Lytechinus pictus: one gene and its partners. The protein of the gene in region 1 binds, or shares a complex with, the protein of each later gene. Links are inferred from orthologs where the notes say so. Each region holds a gene or a part of one and is shown on either strand. Other genes may lie near its edges. The genes, in order: serine/threonine-protein phosphatase 4 regulatory subunit 1-like, serine/threonine-protein phosphatase 4 regulatory subunit 2-like and serine/threonine-protein phosphatase 4 regulatory subunit 4-like.

What was found.
Region 2: serine/threonine-protein phosphatase 4 regulatory subunit 1-like (region 1) and serine/threonine-protein phosphatase 4 regulatory subunit 2-like share a complex: the UniProt entries of both Homo sapiens proteins name them as parts of the PP4 complex. The link is inferred for Lytechinus pictus from reciprocal best matches to the Homo sapiens genes PPP4R1 and PPP4R2.
Region 3: serine/threonine-protein phosphatase 4 regulatory subunit 1-like (region 1) and serine/threonine-protein phosphatase 4 regulatory subunit 4-like share a complex: the UniProt entries of both Homo sapiens proteins name them as parts of the PP4 complex. The link is inferred for Lytechinus pictus from reciprocal best matches to the Homo sapiens genes PPP4R1 and PPP4R4.

Annotation. Positions count from the first base shown.
Region 1 is NC_087246.1:66,574,601-66,581,342, reverse strand, and holds the start of serine/threonine-protein phosphatase 4 regulatory subunit 1-like, read left to right. Parts: upstream 1-2,068; 5' UTR 2,069-2,311; coding exon 2,312-2,318; intron 2,319-2,404; coding exon 2,405-2,449; intron 2,450-6,742. UniProt on the Homo sapiens protein: Regulatory subunit of serine/threonine-protein phosphatase 4. May play a role in regulation of cell division in renal glomeruli. The PPP4C-PPP4R1 PP4 complex may play a role in dephosphorylation and regulation of HDAC3.
Region 2 is NC_087247.1:51,603,358-51,610,099, reverse strand, and holds the start of serine/threonine-protein phosphatase 4 regulatory subunit 2-like, read right to left. Parts: upstream 3,510-6,742; 5' UTR 3,157-3,509; coding exon 3,024-3,156; intron 2,934-3,023; coding exon 2,852-2,933; intron 1-2,851. UniProt on the Homo sapiens protein: Regulatory subunit of serine/threonine-protein phosphatase 4 (PP4). May regulate the activity of PPP4C at centrosomal microtubule organizing centers.
Region 3 is NC_087251.1:41,441,098-41,447,839, reverse strand, and holds the start of serine/threonine-protein phosphatase 4 regulatory subunit 4-like, read right to left. Parts: upstream 4,071-6,742; 5' UTR 3,999-4,070; coding exon 3,972-3,998; intron 3,198-3,971; coding exon 3,050-3,197; intron 2,214-3,049; coding exon 2,140-2,213; intron 1-2,139. UniProt on the Homo sapiens protein: Putative regulatory subunit of serine/threonine-protein phosphatase 4.

The DNA of each region.
Region 1 (6,742 bases):
CGTATCTATCATAATAATTAATGAGAGCGCATAGACTAGCTGATTTTTTTAATCCATCCTCTAAAGGGGACTGCATTTTTTAGAAGTGGTTTGATATTGGTAAGTACATGTTAGCTCTCAGTACTCGTTGGTGGAAAACAGAACAGGGCGCCCAATATGACTCTATTACATTTCGCAATTATGAAAAGGATTGGTAGCCCTATCTTCCTAACAGTATTTTTATTTAAAGAAGAAGTTGTGTATCGGAATACCAAATGCGAGTGCGAGCTGTTTCTTTCTTTCCTTTGAATGAGGTATTCTAAGTGCAATCGGGAGCGCAATTTATATCATCATGAAAATGATGGGTATCTTCCAAACTAATTATGCGTGTGAAGCGCAAATCCGCGAGCTGATTTTGTTTACTATTCCGATCTAGAAAAGACAATAATATTTAAGGACTATTTTAAGCACTATATTGAACATGAAGGATTATAGTGGCGTACCGTGGGTCACGGCATTGGGGGGGGGGGGGCACCAGTAAAAATTTTGAGTCACTTAGTGGGCGCGCGAAGCGCGATCAATTGTCAGTTATGACCTAATAGAGACATTGTAAAGAGTGTGCCATTAAACGGATATGTATATCACTGATACAAAAATGCGAAGCGCAAGCTGATTTTTTGTTATTCAGACCTAAAAAATTGACATTATAAGCACATTTTTGTAATCATGATACCTACCTCTCTCACAAGACGAACTATGCGAGCGCGAAGCGCTAGCTGATTTTTTTTGGGTATATATTTTCCCCAAACAGGTACATTTTAAGAACTATACGTTTTAGGAATTCATGAAGAGCATACATGTCTCAACATAGTCATTTAATGCGAGCGCCATGCAAGCGCTTGCTGATTTTGTTAGAATTACACCTAACCCATGAAACACTTTTTGTAGTCATTGTAATCATGACCATGATAGGCCTTCATATCTCACTAATCAAATATTGCGAGCGCAAGCTGATTTTTTTTATTCAGACGTGAAAAGGTGCATTCTAATGTTTGCTTGTAGGAATTCACTAAGACCATACGTACTTCACTACTGACCGAATGATGAGAGCACGAAGCGCGAGCTGAATTTTTTGATATTCTGACCAGAAAAAGTGACATTTTAAGGACTGTTTTTAGGAATTCGTGAAGAGCAGACATAATCTCACTTGTGAAGACTATACAGTATAATCATGGAACACCTGATTTCTTTTCTTGTCTTTTTTTTTAGTTATATTCTAAGAATATTCTGTTATCAAGAAAAGGGTGGCGATCTCCTTATTATGTGAGAGCAAAGCCAAGCTGAACATGATATCCTGATCTGAAGATCTAAGGGATAGTCCAAGCAGGGGCGGATCCAGGATTTTCTAATGGGGGGGGGGGCACATATTTCCGAGGAAAATTTGACAAGCAAAAAAAAAAAAGTTCTCAACCAAGAATTAATGATATTTCATCCTCGAAAAAATTTGACAAGCAAAAAAAAGTCTTCACTTTCAAGGTTGGGGGGGGCACACTTCTGTTTTAACGGCATTTTTACATTACAAATTTTAATTTTGCATCTCAAGGGGGGCACGGGCCGGCTGTGCCCCCCCCCCGTACCCGTGTGAGTCCAAGGTCTAGCAGCCTACATGTACATTTATGTCAAATAAGACTAAATAGAGCGCAAAATATTTTGATATTCAGGATTGAATAAAAATAGAAAAATCCCACAAGATATGGCTCAACTAACATTAAGCAAATCATGTGAGAGTCCATGTCAAAGCCAATTAAGTGGAAATTAATCAAATTAAATATGATTTAGGGCTATTATAGCTTATAAGGAATTATCAGAATTTATGATTGTGATATTTATAGGCCTACTTAAAACACAACACAATGCAGTGGCCGCGGAACGGTTTTCAAAGTGGGGGGCTGACCGTTGGGCTGACCATGCAAAAAATCACAATCATATTATCATTTTTACGTTTTTGTACACGGTTTTGGAAAAAAAGTGGGGGGGGGCGTGAAGCCCCCCCCCCCCCCCTAGCCCCCCGCTTCCGCGGCCTCTGAGTTTAAATCATGTTTCACCATGTATACAAGAGAAATATTAGAAATTATTTTCCAGCCCCCCCCCCCCCCCCGCTTCCGCGGCCCCTGCAATGGATAAAAGTAAAATGATTTGAATTTTTTTTTTATTCCTCCCAAAAAGGGTGAAATTATAGAGGAATATAATGGTCATTTTAATTCCTCTGTGAAAGACTAATAGCTTTCAACCAATCAAATAATTGAAAAAGCCACCTCGTGCTTTATTCATCATGGCGGGTGAGTATTTACGAACGATGACCCTTCTTCCGTGTAAAAAGGTGTATCTCGAAATTCTACTAATTTCAAATTTTCTGTCATTTCAGATCTCAGCCTTCTTGCTGGTAGTTTTGACGGAGATCCCCAAGACTGTAAGTTTTATTTTACTTTGTTTTCACAGATTTGTGTGCCATATTTGACTATTTGAGAAGTGGATGATTTTTACGGCCACCTGAGCCTCTGCGGTAGATATGGTGTACCGGTAGATGTTTGAATGGGCCGTTTCTTGTGTGTTATTCCTCTGGCAGGAAACGAACCGGCGTGATACCGCGGATGATGTGATGTGTGTACGACTGTGTCTTGATGACTGAGCGAGTGTGTTGTGCAGTGACAATGCAAATGTGACTGTCAATCTATCGGCTACTGAAATTCATGAGTCATGTGTCACTAAATTGAAGGCATAATTGTTAGAGATAGATTCTAACATTAGACGTATTGGCAGAAATACTGTTCAGTTCAGTCTGTTGTCTTTCATGTCTGTTGAGTGTTGTCGAGTTGTCGATTTTTGGCCAAACTTGCTTTGGAAAGTTTGGGTAGATGGAGCTGGAGTGGAGTCCCCTTTTCTAACGTAACGACTAACGTCGTTTAACGATGTTAGCAGTAACGTTAGATGATTAGCCTGGCTGGGCCAGGCAGTCATGGTGGCAGCCAACCACTGCGGGAAACTCCGGCCCTACGACTCGGGAGTTTGTCGTAAGTGGCCATTATCTGTGGACTTAACAAACATCTCACTTTTGCTTTTGGTCAGTTGGTGATCGGCATTATCATGAAATATAGAGAATCACTGTACACTTTGTACAGCAGCGCTTAATTCAGTCACACACATTGGTTCCCTAATATTTCCACCTCCATTCATCGTACTTGTTACCTCAGGCGATGGTTCGTGTAGGCTCCTGCGCACCTCTACACTTCACTACCGCTACCCTCGGCTACACCTACCCGAACCATCTTAAGACTCACTCCTTGCCCTTTCTTGTAAACGTTTCGAAATTGGCGATTTGATGCCGGTTCGCAGTAGCCTATCTGACAGTGACACGTATTAATTCACCGCTGAATCCAAAATGGTGAACGTGAATTGCGAATTTGAGACGTTTACAGGAAAGTGCAAGGAGTGAGTCTGTGTCCGATAGTAACTAAGTTTAGTCACTGTAGAGTACGCTTAATGTCTTTTTTTTTATATGACGGTTGCCTTTTTTACCAAAAATTGACACAGTTTGTCACTGGTTTTCGAGAGCAAACTAGTATTCATGTTTCGGGTAGGTGTAGCAGAGGGTAGCGGTAGTGAATTGTAGTAATATGTGATTCGTAATGCGCCTAATCCACTCGGCAGAGTGCCCTAGGCGCAGGCGTAGTGGAGCCTACATGAACCATCGCCTGAGGTAACTTGTCATCTGCTTGTATGGTAAGGTCCCCCAAGTCTGCGCAGTCCCCCTTGTCTGCGCACACACATACCTGCGCGATTATAGTAAAAGAAGGTACACAACAATCACAAATTTTACATATGCAATAGATTTTTTTTTAAGATCCTACTCAAAATGGTGGAAAATAATGAATTTTGGGCATAAATTCATGTGACGTTCTCAAATTGTAGCCTTTCTCATCAAAATCCCTGAATCGTGTGTTAAGTGAATGGGTGCGCGGACAAAGGGCACCGGGGGGCACCATTTTTTGTTCAGTCTGAAAATGACTGGCCAAGGTTTTTTTTAAAGAAAATCATAATATCTATCTTTTCAATTTTTTTTTGAGATTTTTGGCACACTGATAAGAACATAAGGAACATAAATTCATGTTAAACATTAACTAAATAGTTAGGTGCACAGACATGGGGCCCCCCCTCTTCATACACTTACTTTTCCTGGGTGGTTCACTAAAATCCATGATTTGGCCTGCTGATCTTTCTCATCCAAATCGCCAGTGTCTACAATATTTTACAATTGTCATCCCAAAAGGATGTTTAAGACACCGATGAATCATTTCCTTGTCCGGTTCGTGCATAAAGACAGCATGCCAATCTCACTCCTGATTCATTTAATTGAAATACAGGGTTAAAATTTGGAAGTCATTTTTTTTGTAAGGAAACTGAAATAAAAAGTATACCAACCACACGATGATAAGCTCTCTGCAAAGACGGTACTAGTACTATTAGTTTTGAGCATTACTGGAACATTTTGGGGGGGGCCATGAGGGTGTTTCACAAAGAGTGAAAGGGGTGTGAATATAGTTGTATTAAAGTCCAAGTTGGTTTAATTTTGCTGAGAGGATGCACATTACTGCATATTTGTCAATAAGATTGCTGGTTACTATCATGTGCACATAGACATTTAAGGATGACTTAAGTTAAGTCGCACTTAAAACTTTGTGAAATACAACCCCAGGATTCGAGTCTCTCAGGCGGGACATTCCGGACATGTTTGTGACCAGTTGACAGACCAGTCAGCCTAAATCTAGGACTATTAAAGAAAGTATCATATCGTGTCAATATAAAAGGTGAAAAACAACTCCCTATGGTGTATCTTCACAAAAACCTTAATGTAACACAGTAGTATAGTCTATAAAAGGGCTCTACCTGTTATTAGAATGCCTACCTGCATAGTGATTGGTATAGGAAAGGTATCACCAGTACTGATTGAACAGCTCTTTTTTTTTTTTTCTTTCTTCTATCGAATCTCAATGCTTTGCTCAGATACACTCAAGATAAATTATGCTTAGCAGAGAAAAAAATACACAAGATTCTAGGCAATTTTGCTCTTGAAATGCTCAAAAGAGCCCTAAAAAAGTGTTATTGTAAATCCCCATTCTCTGCAATGTTGATGCTTATCTGGGCCCCATCTTACAAAGAGTTATGATTGATCCAATCAATCGTAACTCTATGGAAATCCATTAGTGTCATAATTTTTTCTTCAGAAAATTTGCAAAATGTCCTTTGTAAACAAAGGAGAACACACCAAATTGTCAAGAAATAAATGAATTTATGGATATGCTTTCATATCTAGAATTTTTTTTTGAACAAACATGCATTTTATATGTTGACTTTGCTAGCTTTCCATAGTTGCGATTGATCGGATCAATCGTAACTCTTTGTAAGACGGGGCTCTGATGTTACAGATTCAGGCATTAGGTTGGGAAAAGTAGCTCCTGAAAATAGATATTAATTTTTTGCCTGCTACTTAGGTACCGTTAATTTGTAAAAATTATGGGGAAAAACTATACTTAAAAAAATGTATATGATTATGAGCAAAAACACTTTAGAGGTTTTCCGACATGAATCGACAAACTTTGGTGTGAAAATGGAATTGATCTGTCAATCAACACGCGACACCGATTGTCCCAGACCAGTAAAAATTGCTGTCAGGCCAGTAACTTTTCAGAAATAGCCAGATTTACTAGTCCAACATGACCAGTAAAAAATATATCAAACGGATACAAATTATATTTTCTCCTATTTTGTAAATTCTAAAAATGGCTCTCATGAATGTTGTGCATGTGTGTACTGTATGCTTGCATTTTTTTGGGGGGGGGGTGCAATAAAAGCAAAAGACAGCCAAATAAACTTGCATCCTTTTTTATGTTTTTATCTATTTTGGGGACCAGTAAATTTTAGGTTTGGACCAGTAAAAAATTGAAAAACTTGGTATCTACTGGTCCGACATTAACAGGTTGGACTAGTTGATATAAAGGGTTAGTGTGAAGCCTTCTGTTAAGAAATGTATGATTGAACTTACTAAAAGAAAAATGATGCTGCTTTTCAAATTTTCAAGTAAGGCTGCTAGGGCAATTCCTTGTAATGATAACCTTTTTTTTCAATATTTGCTTCACTTCACAAACTCTTCAAGCCATATTAATTTGAGAGCATTACAGGTAAGTCCAAACTAAAGGGATTGTTTCCAAGATGCCATTTTTTAAAAGTTCTGATATTTGACGTAATATAAGCAGCATTTGTAAGCGAGAATTTATTGATAAATGCTAAAAATTATTATTTTAACTTTAAAGGGATCATTGAACAAATTTTTGTAATAAATAAGTGATGATAAACACTGAAAAAAAAAAATTAAACATATTTCAAAGTTTTAGGATCACTCTTAGGGACAGTGATTTTCCGCGATCGCGGAAAACGGACGGAATTCACGGAAAGGGCCTTTTGAAACGGAAAGTGGCATATCAAACGGAAAATCACGGAAAACGTATTTTCCCTCAAAATAAACAGAATAGCAACAGAAATTACTCCAAAATCACAACAAAATGAGAATATTAAATGGCCACAAAACCCCAGAAAACACGATCTCACTTCGCTACTATCATGACAATTCACACATCATGACTGCACTCGACATCAGCACACTCGATTGTACCCCGCACCCGCCCATGGCCGGCCGGGTTGGGCTTCA
Region 2 (6,742 bases), on another chromosome or scaffold:
CTAGTTTAAACCGGATTTGCTCCTACCGAATGTCTTTTATCTTCTTACACTTAATGAACTGTTTTGTTTATTATATTTTCGTTGATCATAATTTAACCAAAGATGAACATGTATTGTAATCATAAATTATGTTGTAAATATTTTTATATTATTGCTCGTTGACAAGTAGCATCCAATATCATTTTGTACTGATCTTTCATATCACCATAGGATGTTTTTCATGTATATTTATGCATTTTATGTTATGCAGGGCCTCCTAGTATAACAGTTTTGTAACTACTGATGGGGCTACCTTGTTAAATAAAAATGAAATATAAAAATGAAATAAGCCTTTTGAAATTTTTAAGTCTTACAGAGTACAAAGTATGTTAGTTTTCTGAAACGAAATGGCTCAAGCAATGTAGTACTTACATGTACGCACTCAGAAATTACAAGAAATGTAAGGCAACAGTACATAGTGTTGCACTGACTTCACATAAAATAGAAAAATGTAGAAATTTCTTAAATCTTGCATTTTTTATATTTTGCAGAGCCCCTACATGTATGACAACGATACTTAAAAAATTAAAGTCAACCATAAATTTGGTAAAAACAAATAAAATCTAGAAATAATACATTACTGCATGTTTCATAATTTCTTGCATTACTACATAAATGTACATGTAACATCCCTTATAGTGTAGGAAAACACTGTACAAGAGGGCGCCAGGAGATTTCGCCCTCATGACAGCCAAAATTGCCCCTAAAATTCCCCAAAAATGCATGTTTTGGGGTGACCATTCTTTCTAGAGTTGCTCCAAGACCTGTCACAAACAATATTCAAGATAATAGAATATCAGTATAAGTATTCTAACTATTGCGGAATTAATGATTTTTGCATTTACTACATAATTGCTTTTTACCACTAAAAAGTACAAAATAGCCCCCTTAATTCTACAGTCACCAAAATGTGGAAATAAAAAGATGGCCGCCCCAAAAATAAAAATAAATAATTTCCTACATGTACCCTGATCCCTTATGTGCATGTACATGTACATGTACATATATGTTCTTAGGATATAGGTATACCGGTAAAACATTTTAAAGTATTTTTTATAGTACTGTACATGTATTTACATTCCATAATGTACACAATTGTACCCATCACTAATTACTATCACCACCATAATCATTACCACTCCCATCACCATGATCATTATCACCATTGCTATCATCATGATGATCATCATTAATCCTACAAGTACAATGAGTATATGTATGATCATTAACCAACATTATCAATTTAATACAACATGACATCATTGGAGATGTGAGAAAATGTTTAGTTTTTTCTCACATGAACCAACAAAATGCTTCAGAGATTCTTAATACATTTTAGGAGTGTTTGAAAGTCACTGAATTGTGCTACTAGTATCAGAATAATGTATTACTTAACCTAATCAATAAAGGACAGGTCCACCCCAACAAAAGTTTATTTCACTTATCTTTAATAATACTACACACACTGTTTAACTTTCTGAGACGTGTGATTGGTATCGCAGCAAATTCTACAGTGGAGTAACTAAAATTGCAAATAATACAAACAGAAAAAATGGATGACCCCATGGATAACACCTATTTGGGACAATTAATTCAAGCAAAAAAATTGAGAAATCCTGATCTGATAGTCCCTAGTAGACGGGTACCATTATTTTCATAGCTCTACTTGGTTGATTTATTGTTTAGGAATATAGTATCATGTGCAAGTTTTGACATCTAGATAAGGAATACTAGTAAAGGCCTGAAAAGTGCTTGATATTCAGTCTTTGGTGACACTTACGTTTTTCTTTTAATAGCGATCCACCAGTCTGGAATAAATTGCACTGGTGACCGATGGCCTCAGGTGGGCACCGGTGAACCGCCCAGTACAACGAGCCTACAGGTACTTATCGTTCTTTTTTACTCCAATTTCTAAACGAAATTATAGTCGGTAATTAACCTGTATTCCATCAACCCCTCTTTCCCTGTCTCTTCAAAACCACTGCCAATTTTACCCAGTTGGCTATCCACAAAATAGATCAATTTAAACTGTATATACTCATCATTTCTTTTAATCCACGTTTTCAACAAAATTACATTCAGTAATTAACCTGTCCACCAACCCCTGTTTTCTCTTCTTTTTAAAACTACTCTGCCACTTTTAGACAATTAGCAATCCACTATACTATTCAATAACAAAAATGGCCGATCGAGACGGGGGTAGAAGGAGAGAACTTTTCGTTTTTTGAGGTTCCAGTCTGTGCCCAGATGTCAGGAAACTGCCACTCGTTAGACCTTCATCCATATAATCGTGGTAAGTGCATAATTTCTGTTTTCACAATTCATTTGGAGAAATATTTAGACCATAAATCACCCTAGTCCCGTGAGTATGGTAAAATACACGGTAAGCTCCTGCCCGCTGCGCGGGCCGGAGCTCCCTGGGTTACGGAAGAGCCAACATAACATTAACACTAGTCTTACAGAGTCAGAGACCGAAGCTTTTTGGTCTAAGTTAGCACACCGGACATACCGGTAACTCATATGTTCATAAGAAGGAAAAAAAAGAAGAAAAAGAGAGTGATAGAGCTTTTTAGAAGGGGGTTTTGGAAAAGTATTTTTTTTTCATTAGTGGAGGGGACATAAATTCAAAAGGAAGTCTTTCCTTTTTTTTTTTACTCTCGACTCTGCTCTGAATCCTGATCTGGCCAAAAAAAGCCAAGCCCAAGCCAGGCGACTAGCCGCTAGCGCTAGCGCTGGCGCGCGCCACAGTGCAGTACACTGCACTGAATGCGACTGCCTCGCAGTTTAGTTTAGCAAACGCAATCATACTCACAATGGTTCACCGTGGCGGGCTATCCTTTGAATCAACTGTTCCAGCACGGACGGGATACTTTTCGACGGCTTTTTCACGAAATCTGAAAAGATACAATGATTTGACACCATATTTAGAATGTTCCAAAACATATTTAGTTATAGTTTTGATTAATAACATTTCTGTAACTTACCGTTTAAAGCGTCTAAGTAGTTTTCAAGCTCAGCATCCCTTGACAAATCTTCCATTTTCACAGATTTCGAGTCAAAGTCTACTATACTACCTGTGTATAACAAATGCAGCGCTGAACTTGTTGATTTGTACATTTTACGGTTAAAGTCAGGCGATTCGTAATTTTACAGGGTAGCAGCGAAAGATACGACAGTCGTTGCGTAGGCCGCTTTTGGCCGTGGTTCGTACGACGACGACGAGGAGCTTCACAAATCTGTGCCAGTGCCACTCATGTGAAACTGAATAAATATATAGACTAGAAAATATATAAAACTTAAAAAATAAATGGGCATGGGTGTCGATCTCGGGACTGACGGTATCCCGGGGCAGGGGGTGACGAGGGGTAGTTTTGAAAGACTGGTCCGTCATGGTCAATCGCAGGGTCATTCATTTTCCGGGGTCATTTTAGGCCCGGATTTTAGGGTATGTTTTTTCCAAAGCTTTTTTTTTATACTATAGCCAAACGTGTTTAGGGTATTTTTTCCCCCAAGCATGGGCGGAAATCCCAGGGGGGACAGGGGGGGGGGGGACGTGTCCCCCTTACTCAAAATAGTAGGGGGGACACTAAATATCAAATGTCCCCCCACTATTTTTTTGGTCTTTTATGCCTGGAAAGAGATTCAAAATCGAAATAAAACATGTATATTTTAGGACGAGATGACCTTACTTTTGGGATGATCTTCTTTTTTTTTTGCTTGTCAAAATTATTTTCGTCGAAATGACCTTAAATTCGGGGTGTAACCTTCTTCTTTTTTTTTTTTTGCTTGTCAAATTTTTCAGCCCCTTGTCCCCCTACCTTTTGGGAGAGATTTCCGCCCCTGCTTTTCCCCGGGGTCATATTCTGGCGACAACTTGTTTAGGGGCCAAAATGTGCAAATAAAGCCCGCGAAAAACTTGTTTAGGGGGTTATTTTGAACACAGAGAAAAACTCGTATAGGGGGTGTTTGGAAATAATTTGGCCGCGCGTGTGTACATACAATATAATAACTGCCCCCCGGGCCTGTATACAGGGTACAACCCCCCCCCCTCCGTTTCAAGTGCATAAAGGGGGACAGAATAGGGGAGCCTATTATAATCTCCAGAATAAAAACATCGATTAGTTCAATAAGATCAATAAACAAATGACAACAAGAAATTAAAAAAGAAAGAAAAACAAAATTCGTGGAAAAATCAGTTAATCTTTTTTTTCTGAAGTTCAACAAAGTCTGTTTTAAAAACAGCTCAGAATGTACTCATCTGTATGTGATAAGTTAACTTGCCGATATAGGGTAATTTCATGAGCCATGAACAAATGTTTAGACCCTCTCTCATTTCGATGGATAAAAGCAAAATTGTTTTAACAAATGCATTTTATAAGTTCTTATTAATTTAGCAGAAGTTACAGTACACGAACTAGGTTGGGAATAAAGCTTCATCATTTTTAATAACACAATTTTTCCCTTTGCTCAGTGCTCACTAATGTAGTGAGATCAATCAATCAAGTATGCCAGCATTTGCAATTAAATCAATGGCAAATGCAATTCATATCACTTATCAACTAAAAAATTATATACTCTAGAATGATTATGTTACAAGGATTTGTAAAAATACATACATTACGGCTATGAATAGTGACCATGCAGTCGATTAGGATTTAAATATTGGTTAAATTTGGATTTGAAAATCAATCTTTAAGATCGATTTACATGCATTTAAATCTTTAAGAATTAATTTTAAATCCTAATATCGACTGGTCACTGTTCACAGTTATAATGGAATCATATTAAATCCCTGTCATTTTAGAGTGTACTATCCAATAGTAAGAAGATATTCGGGATGAGGATATGAGATAGAACGTAGCAGAGCGGAGTTAAAGGGGAATCTAGCCTTGGCCATAAAATGCTGTGTTGGGAAGGAGAAAAATAAATTAAACAGAATGGTGAAAGTTTGAAAGATATTGGACAAGCAATAAGAAAGTTATAGCTGCTTTAAAATTGAGATCAATAATAGTATGTAGATTTCAAATTGGCAACTTGGTAAGTAAATTATGACCATGCAGGGGTAAGGACAACTTTCCCATAGGCCGTGTACTTTATTATCAGGGATTTGTGGTTTTCTCCTAAGTACCAATTCCCCTGGGGCAGTAATCTAAATATAACCCAGGTAGTATATTGTTTTATGTCCTCATGAAAGAAAAATATATTTTGAAATAAAACTTTTGTGAAAAATGACATGTTAGTCATAATATGTATTGGAGTACATGGAAGAGTATAGTCCTTGCCTTCAGGCGCGTAGCCAGGGGGGGGCGGTGGGGGCGGTCGCCCCCCCCCAAAACGTCCCCAAAAAGAAAAAAAAAGAAGGGAAAAAAGAGAGGAAAAAAGGAAAAGGGAAGGGAGGAAAGGGAAGAAAGGTAGCTTTGTCGGTTTTTATACTTTTTATTTTTATTTTTTTCTCAAAAGAGAAACTCCTTCACTCTTCTTATAAATTTATATATGAATTTTGCTTCCGCGCTGCGCGCGGTTAAATGACCATATTGAAGTTCTCCATTGTTTCCCCCACCCTTTCTCTAACCCTGCTTTTCCACCTCAGCTATATGTGTTTCTTGCCAGTTAAAGTTCAAATGTATAGATTAGGGCATGGAATTAGAGTAAGGTTAGGCCGAAGTATATGAAGTTATCTTTTTTTTTTATTGATCGCGCAACTTCTGGTCGGGTCGGCTCCGGGCGGGTAAAATCTTTATATCTATTTCTGCCATCACCTCCATAAAGTCAACTTCTCCCGCTTTTCAGGTCATTACTAAACAACCATAATTTGGGGCAAACAGGTTCCTAATTTAAAAAGAGGAATGTATAAAATTCGTGTCGTATTAAATAAAAAAGTACAATATTTTTTTTCAAATTCTATTAATCTTCATGTTATTTCCCTGCACATTCATCTCCTGTCCTATTTTGCGCCCTCAGTTTGAAATTTTGAATGACACTTAGGTTTCTTCATAATTCAAAATGAAGCGCTTCAGGATAAGTCAAAGAAATTAGGCATCCTTTTTTATATAATTTTAATAAATCACAGAAGTTTCAACTTTTTGCGCACTATTTTCCTTGTAATGAAGTTCAATAATCTTAGGTTATCAATTGAATTATATAGAGCCGATGGGGTATAAGACATATCTGCATTTGATGAAACGTCCGCCCTTTGAAATTTCAGAGTTTTATTGCTCTGCGCGGGGAGGAATATCTTCCTCCCGGCATATACACTTCTTCTCCTCTGTTTTGCGAGTTAAAGATATGCACTGTCGCTAAATTGTTTGTAATCAAATCCGATATTTCCAAGGGAAGTATTCAATATATCTTTGAGAATACCCTTTTCTCGGGACCCTTTTCATGGCAAAAAAAAAAATCGAAAAACGCTTTAGCTTCCGCACTTCGCGCGGGGTTATTATGATTTTAATTTCCTCCATTGTATTCCTTTTTGTGCGTTCACAATCACTTTTGAAAACAAGGTTCAAAATCACAATAAAGTCAACTGAATTGGAGCTGATATAGGTACTAGAGACAAGAGAGACGGCTCCTTTTCATTTTAATTTATGACACACCAAAAGCTTCGCGCTTCGCGCGGGAGGGGGAAACTCCCCCTCCCTGCACCCACCCCCTAGGGAGCGCGCTTCGCGCGCTCTGTAAGTGTTGGCACGCTTCGCGTGCATTG
Region 3 (6,742 bases), on another chromosome or scaffold:
ACATTACGATTTAATCAATGTCAAACGAAAGAAAAAAAAAGGAGTAAAAATCAATATTACACCTGGAACAGTGACACAAACGGCATGGTGTACCTATAAATAAATCTTTATTATGACAAAGCACTTTCAATGTCAAAATCTAAGACTTCAGCATCACTAATAGTGGTTTTGAATGGCTGAGTTTCAATGCACACAGGAATGTCCATGTTCATCATAGCCCATAAAAAGATAAATATGAACCCACTCATAATTAGAAAGCAAAATACTGTACTGCTGTAGAAATATTTTTTTCTATCTTGTTTGTTTATAATGCTTGATTAGACACTCATGGTTCATAAAAGATCTAGGTTCATGAAAATACAAATAAATACCTGCCACTTGCATTGGCGTGACAGTCGATTGAAAAAATTGTTATGTTTTTATTTTTCCTCTATTCTGATACACGAGAGACAGAAAACAAACATTCTATTCTGGACAAGAAAAACTATCAGTATTCGTGCACTTCATCCTGGAAGGAATCAATGCAAATCAAGCGACTACTTGGTGTCACGAAAAATCATTCTGAGCAGGAGAACACACACAGACAGTACAATGGGATTTGAAATGAAAGCCAAAGAATTTCAAGGACAAGATGCCTTTGTGAATTCTCAAGGGAGAAGCAGTAACATATCAAGGAGGAAGTCCACCCTGTTATAGTCAGTTTTAATAATGGAAGAGGGAAAATCAGATTTACAAGCACAGCAGAAAAGGTTTGCTTTTTTGTTGTAAAATCTTATATCAAATGACAAAAAAATAATTTGTCAGGTTTGGTAATTTACAAATTGGCAACAATATTGAATAATGTGACTTTCTCCATACGTTCTGAAAAAAGACCAAAAAAGACAAAACAAAAACAACTTATATGGTCTTTATAACGTTTGCTTATTTCCACAAAAACAGTGATATTCATCGTATCTATAGGCAATATAAAAAAATATTAAAGCTCATGATGTCACACACTCCCTATTTAGATATTTTATTATCAGAAATGTGAAATACCTCAGATTTTCCCCCTAATAATGTAAAATTTGTTTAAAGAATCCAAGAACCCATATTTTATCATCCGAAATAGACATGAAATGAAATACTCTGAAAATTTGCTGAGCCCAATTGATTGTGGGCGCGGCAGCCGCTGTGCAGCGCCAGATCGACATGGCTCTATCCCTTTAATCGTTGAACGCCAAACAGGGTAGCAGAAACTCCCATCTTTCAACGGTCTGATGCAGCCAGGTTTGAACTCCTGACAACCCAGTTGTAAGACGGATGCTCTACCAACTGAGCAAACACACAAATTTAATGTGATTCCTCATGGAACTATACATTTTTACAATTGTCATCGTTATCATTCATTTTGATTTACCAAAGATCTTCTTGTCATCAAATCAAGTAAAAGTTAAATATTTGATATTTCATAAAATAAAATGTAAAAGAAATAATAAGCATGTCACATCATCAAATCCCTCATTTGCATACTGCCCATTCTATTAATACTTTTTATCATCTTGTTCTTGGGATATGAAAGAGGGCCCCTAGGGGCTAGTTCCTCTATCAAGCCTCTAGCAATCAATGCATTATCTAAAACACCCCACCATCAAAAGCATTTGTACATCATGCCTGGTGGGTGTTTCATAAAGCTGTTCGTAAGTTAAGAGCGACTTTAAGAATGACTAGTGATTCTTTCTTGCGGTAAATTGAATACACCAAAATGTTCATAGAGTGCATAGACGATGGTTTAGCGTGTAAGAAAGGATCACCAGTCATTCTTAAAGTCGCTCTTAACTTACTAACAGCTTCATGAAACACCTCTGCCCCCCCCCCCCCTCTGAAAGCAGTCATCAAATCCACTTTTAATTTCATGAATCTAAAATAAATCCGGATCGGCTAAATACTGAATTTAGATTCAATCTGTACAGATTTGAATTTAAATCCTTTGAGATTCAAAAATAAATCTTTATAGGATTCAAATCAAATCCACAGTTTGATTGATCAATATTGAAGAGCCAATCTGGATTTATTTCAAATCCATGTAATTCAGAGCGTATAGTAAAGCTTACAACAAATTTTAAGGGAATGTGTTTGAATAAAATCTTGTTTTCTTACATCTTTCTTGAGGACATCCTTTGGAAGGTGTGTAATGACGTTGAGTAAGACTTCTAACCAGGAATCAGAAATATCTACAAATAAAAATATAATAATACAAGTATTCTGTTAACACTATTAGTGTACGCTAATAATCTTAGTCTTTCATTCTTTTAAGTGGAATCCACAGGAATATAAAGTATCTACACAAAAGTAAAACCAAAAAAATATTTCAGTTGATATGAGTGTACAAAGCTTATACTCGCTGGGTTTTCTACAGGAGTTGGTAGACAGTGTTGGTATTGATCTGTTTTCTAATTCAACAGAAGCTCATAGCGTCTCAAGAAGATAAGTCTATTCACACATGAAATCAATATTCTTTTGATGAATGAATCATCATTTTAGAACACATACATGTACCATCTCAGTGACTCCCTATGTACTGCAGTCAATTTTAAAAACTGAATATCATCTTAATTCATCTTAATTCAAATACAACTCTATGGATATTAGATTTGTTAACAAAGTTTTGAGTGGTGTTTCATAAAAATATTTGTTATAATTTTACACAGGATGGTTTGTATTAAGTAATAATAAATGTAATAAAAATTACATTTACAGTGGAAACTTCTTATATTTATACAAAAACTATCTGCCAAATACAGCTCAGGTTGCATTGAAAAACAAAGTTTTGAAATTCTTAAGAACTCAATAGTGAATTCATTCACAGTTCTAAACCAAACTTGTCTCTTTATGCAACATAAATTGAGCGGAAATTATGATGGCTTCTCTGAAAGAAACAGTAAAGTCAACTGAAATCATTAATAATTAATCCTCATTCAAAATGCTCTAGGAGTATTTGATTCTTTGTAAAGTGCTGTCAAACAGTCATGGTGGAGATATCAATTGTATTGTGTTGTATGAAACTGACCTGGGTCTCTATTATCAGCATTCTGTAAGATCGTCTGTAGGAATGTCTGTGCATAGGTTAGGTGTGGCACTGATTGGTCCTCCGCTATCTTCACAAACGCTGCTGCTGCTGCCTCCTGGAGGTCTTGGCTCGCTAAGTGTAATACATCCTACAAAGGAATCATAGAAATGCATAAATTAGACCAAAAAAGGATTGGCGGGGGGGGGGGGGGTCAACTCAACAATGTCAAACTAACGTAAATCATAATGGCATTTTACGTGATGCAATACACACCCTTAATATACAGAAGAGCATTTATTTCAGATAGAAAGAATTGATAACCATCACATTGAAAACGGCTTTAAATTGCTAATCAATCTAATAAGGCATTCAAATATATATACCACTCCCTTAATATCACACCCATTTGACACTTACCATATCTCTATGGAATGCCAATATTTGCTTTCCAACATTGCTATCTGATAAAGTTGTAATCACAAACATGGACATATTGTAGTACCACTCTCAGGTAAGTTCCAAAGACTCTGGTATACCGTACAGTACCTTCAATAGCATCTAGGAGCAGTTCCCTAGTTTGGAAGGCTGCGGGTATTTTTTATAACGGCTTCATAATAGCAGGCCTTCAACAAAATTTATTTCCTGTTTGATCATGTAGGCCTTCATGTAATCAGATTTAGCATTCCTCACATTCTTTTAAAACAAAATGCACAGCTTGCTATACTCTACATGAATAGGCCTACTATCTTTCAATATTTTATACAATCTAATGTTCATGTACAGCCACATGTTTATATAGTCTTTTTCATGAGCAAGAGCATTTCAAATTTCCTTTGCCTGTAAATTATGTTTTTGTGTAATGATTAGAAAAACTCTACATTCACAAATACAACAACCCCCAATCGGCAATTACTAAACTTACCCTGACTTTGGGTACTACTCTGCGCATAGCATCAACATTATTGTTCTTTAGGAGGTTGGGTAGGTTCTGAATGACACTTAATCGTTGCACTTCTTGCCCAGAGCTGTAATTCAATAAGACATCATCCCCATTATTATGATTATAAATTGGTAATATCATGAAAGCTGGCATTGAAATGAAGAAATATATAAAATTGCACAGAGAACAGTACCTTATCTACAGAACGTATTTCTAGAATATATGACAGAACATGACAAGAATTAAGTTGATTACTAGGCACAATTTTCACATCTCTCTTTTACTTCAAGGGTCCTTGTCAAATAGAATGTTAAATGTCCCTAAAAGAAGCAAAAGATTGATGTAGAGGAGATCAGTTTGTATCCATCTTTCTACAAAGTACATGTAACTTTGTCTGAGTTGACTCTATTACGACCACAAAAATTGGTTTGACTTGGGAGAAATTCAACTTAAGAGGAATAACATGTGCATAATCTGGGTCCAGTCTTACAAGTTGTGATTGATCCAATCAACCTCAAATATGAGATCCATAAATGTCATGTAATTTGCCACACAGGAAATTTGCAAAATGTCCGCCTGTAAACAGAGAAACGCACTGAATTGTCAAGACAACGATGATCTAGAAAACAATAAAACATTATGATCAAACATGCATTGAGATGTTGGCGTTGCTGGCTTTCTATCGTTTTGGTCGATCGGATCAATCGCATCTCTTTGTAAGACAGGGCCCTCGTCTCCAAAATGGGTTCGACTTTGGTGAATATTTGACTCATATAATACTGACTTATAAAAATGCAAGTTTAATTTACTGTATACCCAAATTGAAAAGGACAAGATTACAGGAAATATCAAGGAGGATTTTGTTTCAGTTTTTGTAGATCACGAGCATGTTTGTAATATTTAAAGAAAACATGCAGGCACCAGGGGCCCGTAACTCAAAGCTTAGCAATGGTCGTAGAACCAATTTTTTAAAGATTGATTGCATTGACTACAATGTATGATCAATCGTAAAAATCAATTGTAAAAATCAAGTGTACGATTCAATTTGTTTTACGAGACCAAGGTCTCAATCATGAAAGATGAAAATAAATCTAAATTGCCATCTCAGTTGGGCATTTATGTTCATTTCATTCTCACTCAGACTGCATCTGGGGCTGTTTCATAAAGCTATTCGTTAGTTAAGAGTGACTTAAAGAATGACTGGTGATCCTTTTTTGTGGTAAATGATATTAACCATTAAATGTTCATTGGTGATTATATAGTGCATAAGAGAGGTTGACCAGTCATTCTTAACGTCGCTCTTAACTTACGAACAGCTTTATGAAACACCCACCAGGTATTATTTTCATGAGGTCACACACTTTAATATCCAAGAAGTACCTCCAGTTGATTATGAAGAATCTGAATAGAGTCAAGTAGCATTGTATTTCTACAGGTGAAATGGGATGGTATTGATTATTGTGAACAATGAGAATACCTAGTATCAATGGGGCTGTCATTTCAAAGGCGGGTTTGACGCTCCAATGATGTCGCAGAAAGCCCTATACCAGCTTCAACAAGTATGCTGAGTGTGGATAAGCTGCCTATTTGAATGCCAAACCCTTACCAACAAACATATCACAGTCCTTTTTCCATTTTATAGATTATTTATTTAGTTTATTCCAACTGAGCCAACATATACTTTTCTATGTCTGTGAATGTTTTTATCATCATGAAAAAGACAGTTTTTACTTTAATATGAAGTAGCACTTTGTGATTTTCACAAACACATGTAGATATAAGACTTTGAGATAGAGAATATATTTCGATTCAAAGTAGCTGCATCATGTGTTAAAGGTCCTGACAGAAAATGCAAATTCACCAAAAGTAAAAGAAAACAAGATGATTAACATTTACATGTAGTTAACTTTGTGTGGATGTGCTCTAAAGTGACAAAATATGAAAGCCCATCTAAAGCTTTGTTATCATAATGGTCAACAATGTGAATTATTCTTCACTTTCATCTTGCATTCCAATCTTAATAACATTGCAGTGGCTGTTGAATAGCTTTTAAGCTGTTGATTCTTTGAGAAAAAAATGAATTTTGAATTTCTGGATATCTATGTAGCGCTCTTTTTAGCTCTTGGTACTGTTTTTTTATTTCTCTTTTTTAAAAATAAAAACATTTTGGAACACTTATCTTACAGAGATAGTGATTGTATACCTGAAAATACATCCTGACATTTTCAGCCAAATCCACACTTGTATGTGGTTTTATATACTGGTAAAAATTACATTCACATACTTTTATTTTGACATGGCACCTCGCCAAATGATAATTCCTGTAAAATTGTAACAGACACTGTACAGTACATGTGCATCTAGAAATTCTCTATCATCCACATCATACATGTACAAGTTTCGGGATATATATGTTCATATCATGGAGGTAAAGCCTTTTTTTACCTCCATTTTCATATGTGGGCCAGTGACATTAGGGCAATTTAGGGAATACCAAAAGTAGAAACCAACTCCATGTAGAAGAGGGATAGACATAAATCATTCTTAGGGCGCTGTACTACGGCGACCTGTTACATGGTATTTTGTCTCTGTTTTTGTCGCTTATTTTCCGGATTTCGTGATTTGTCTTTGAAGTTATGTTTATGTCATCATGTTCGTCAAATCCATCTCGTGCATCTGGGTATGTTTTGTGCTACTTTTCGTAATCGTTCTACCACAAAATAGTCATGTATATGCATCACCCGGACAGACTA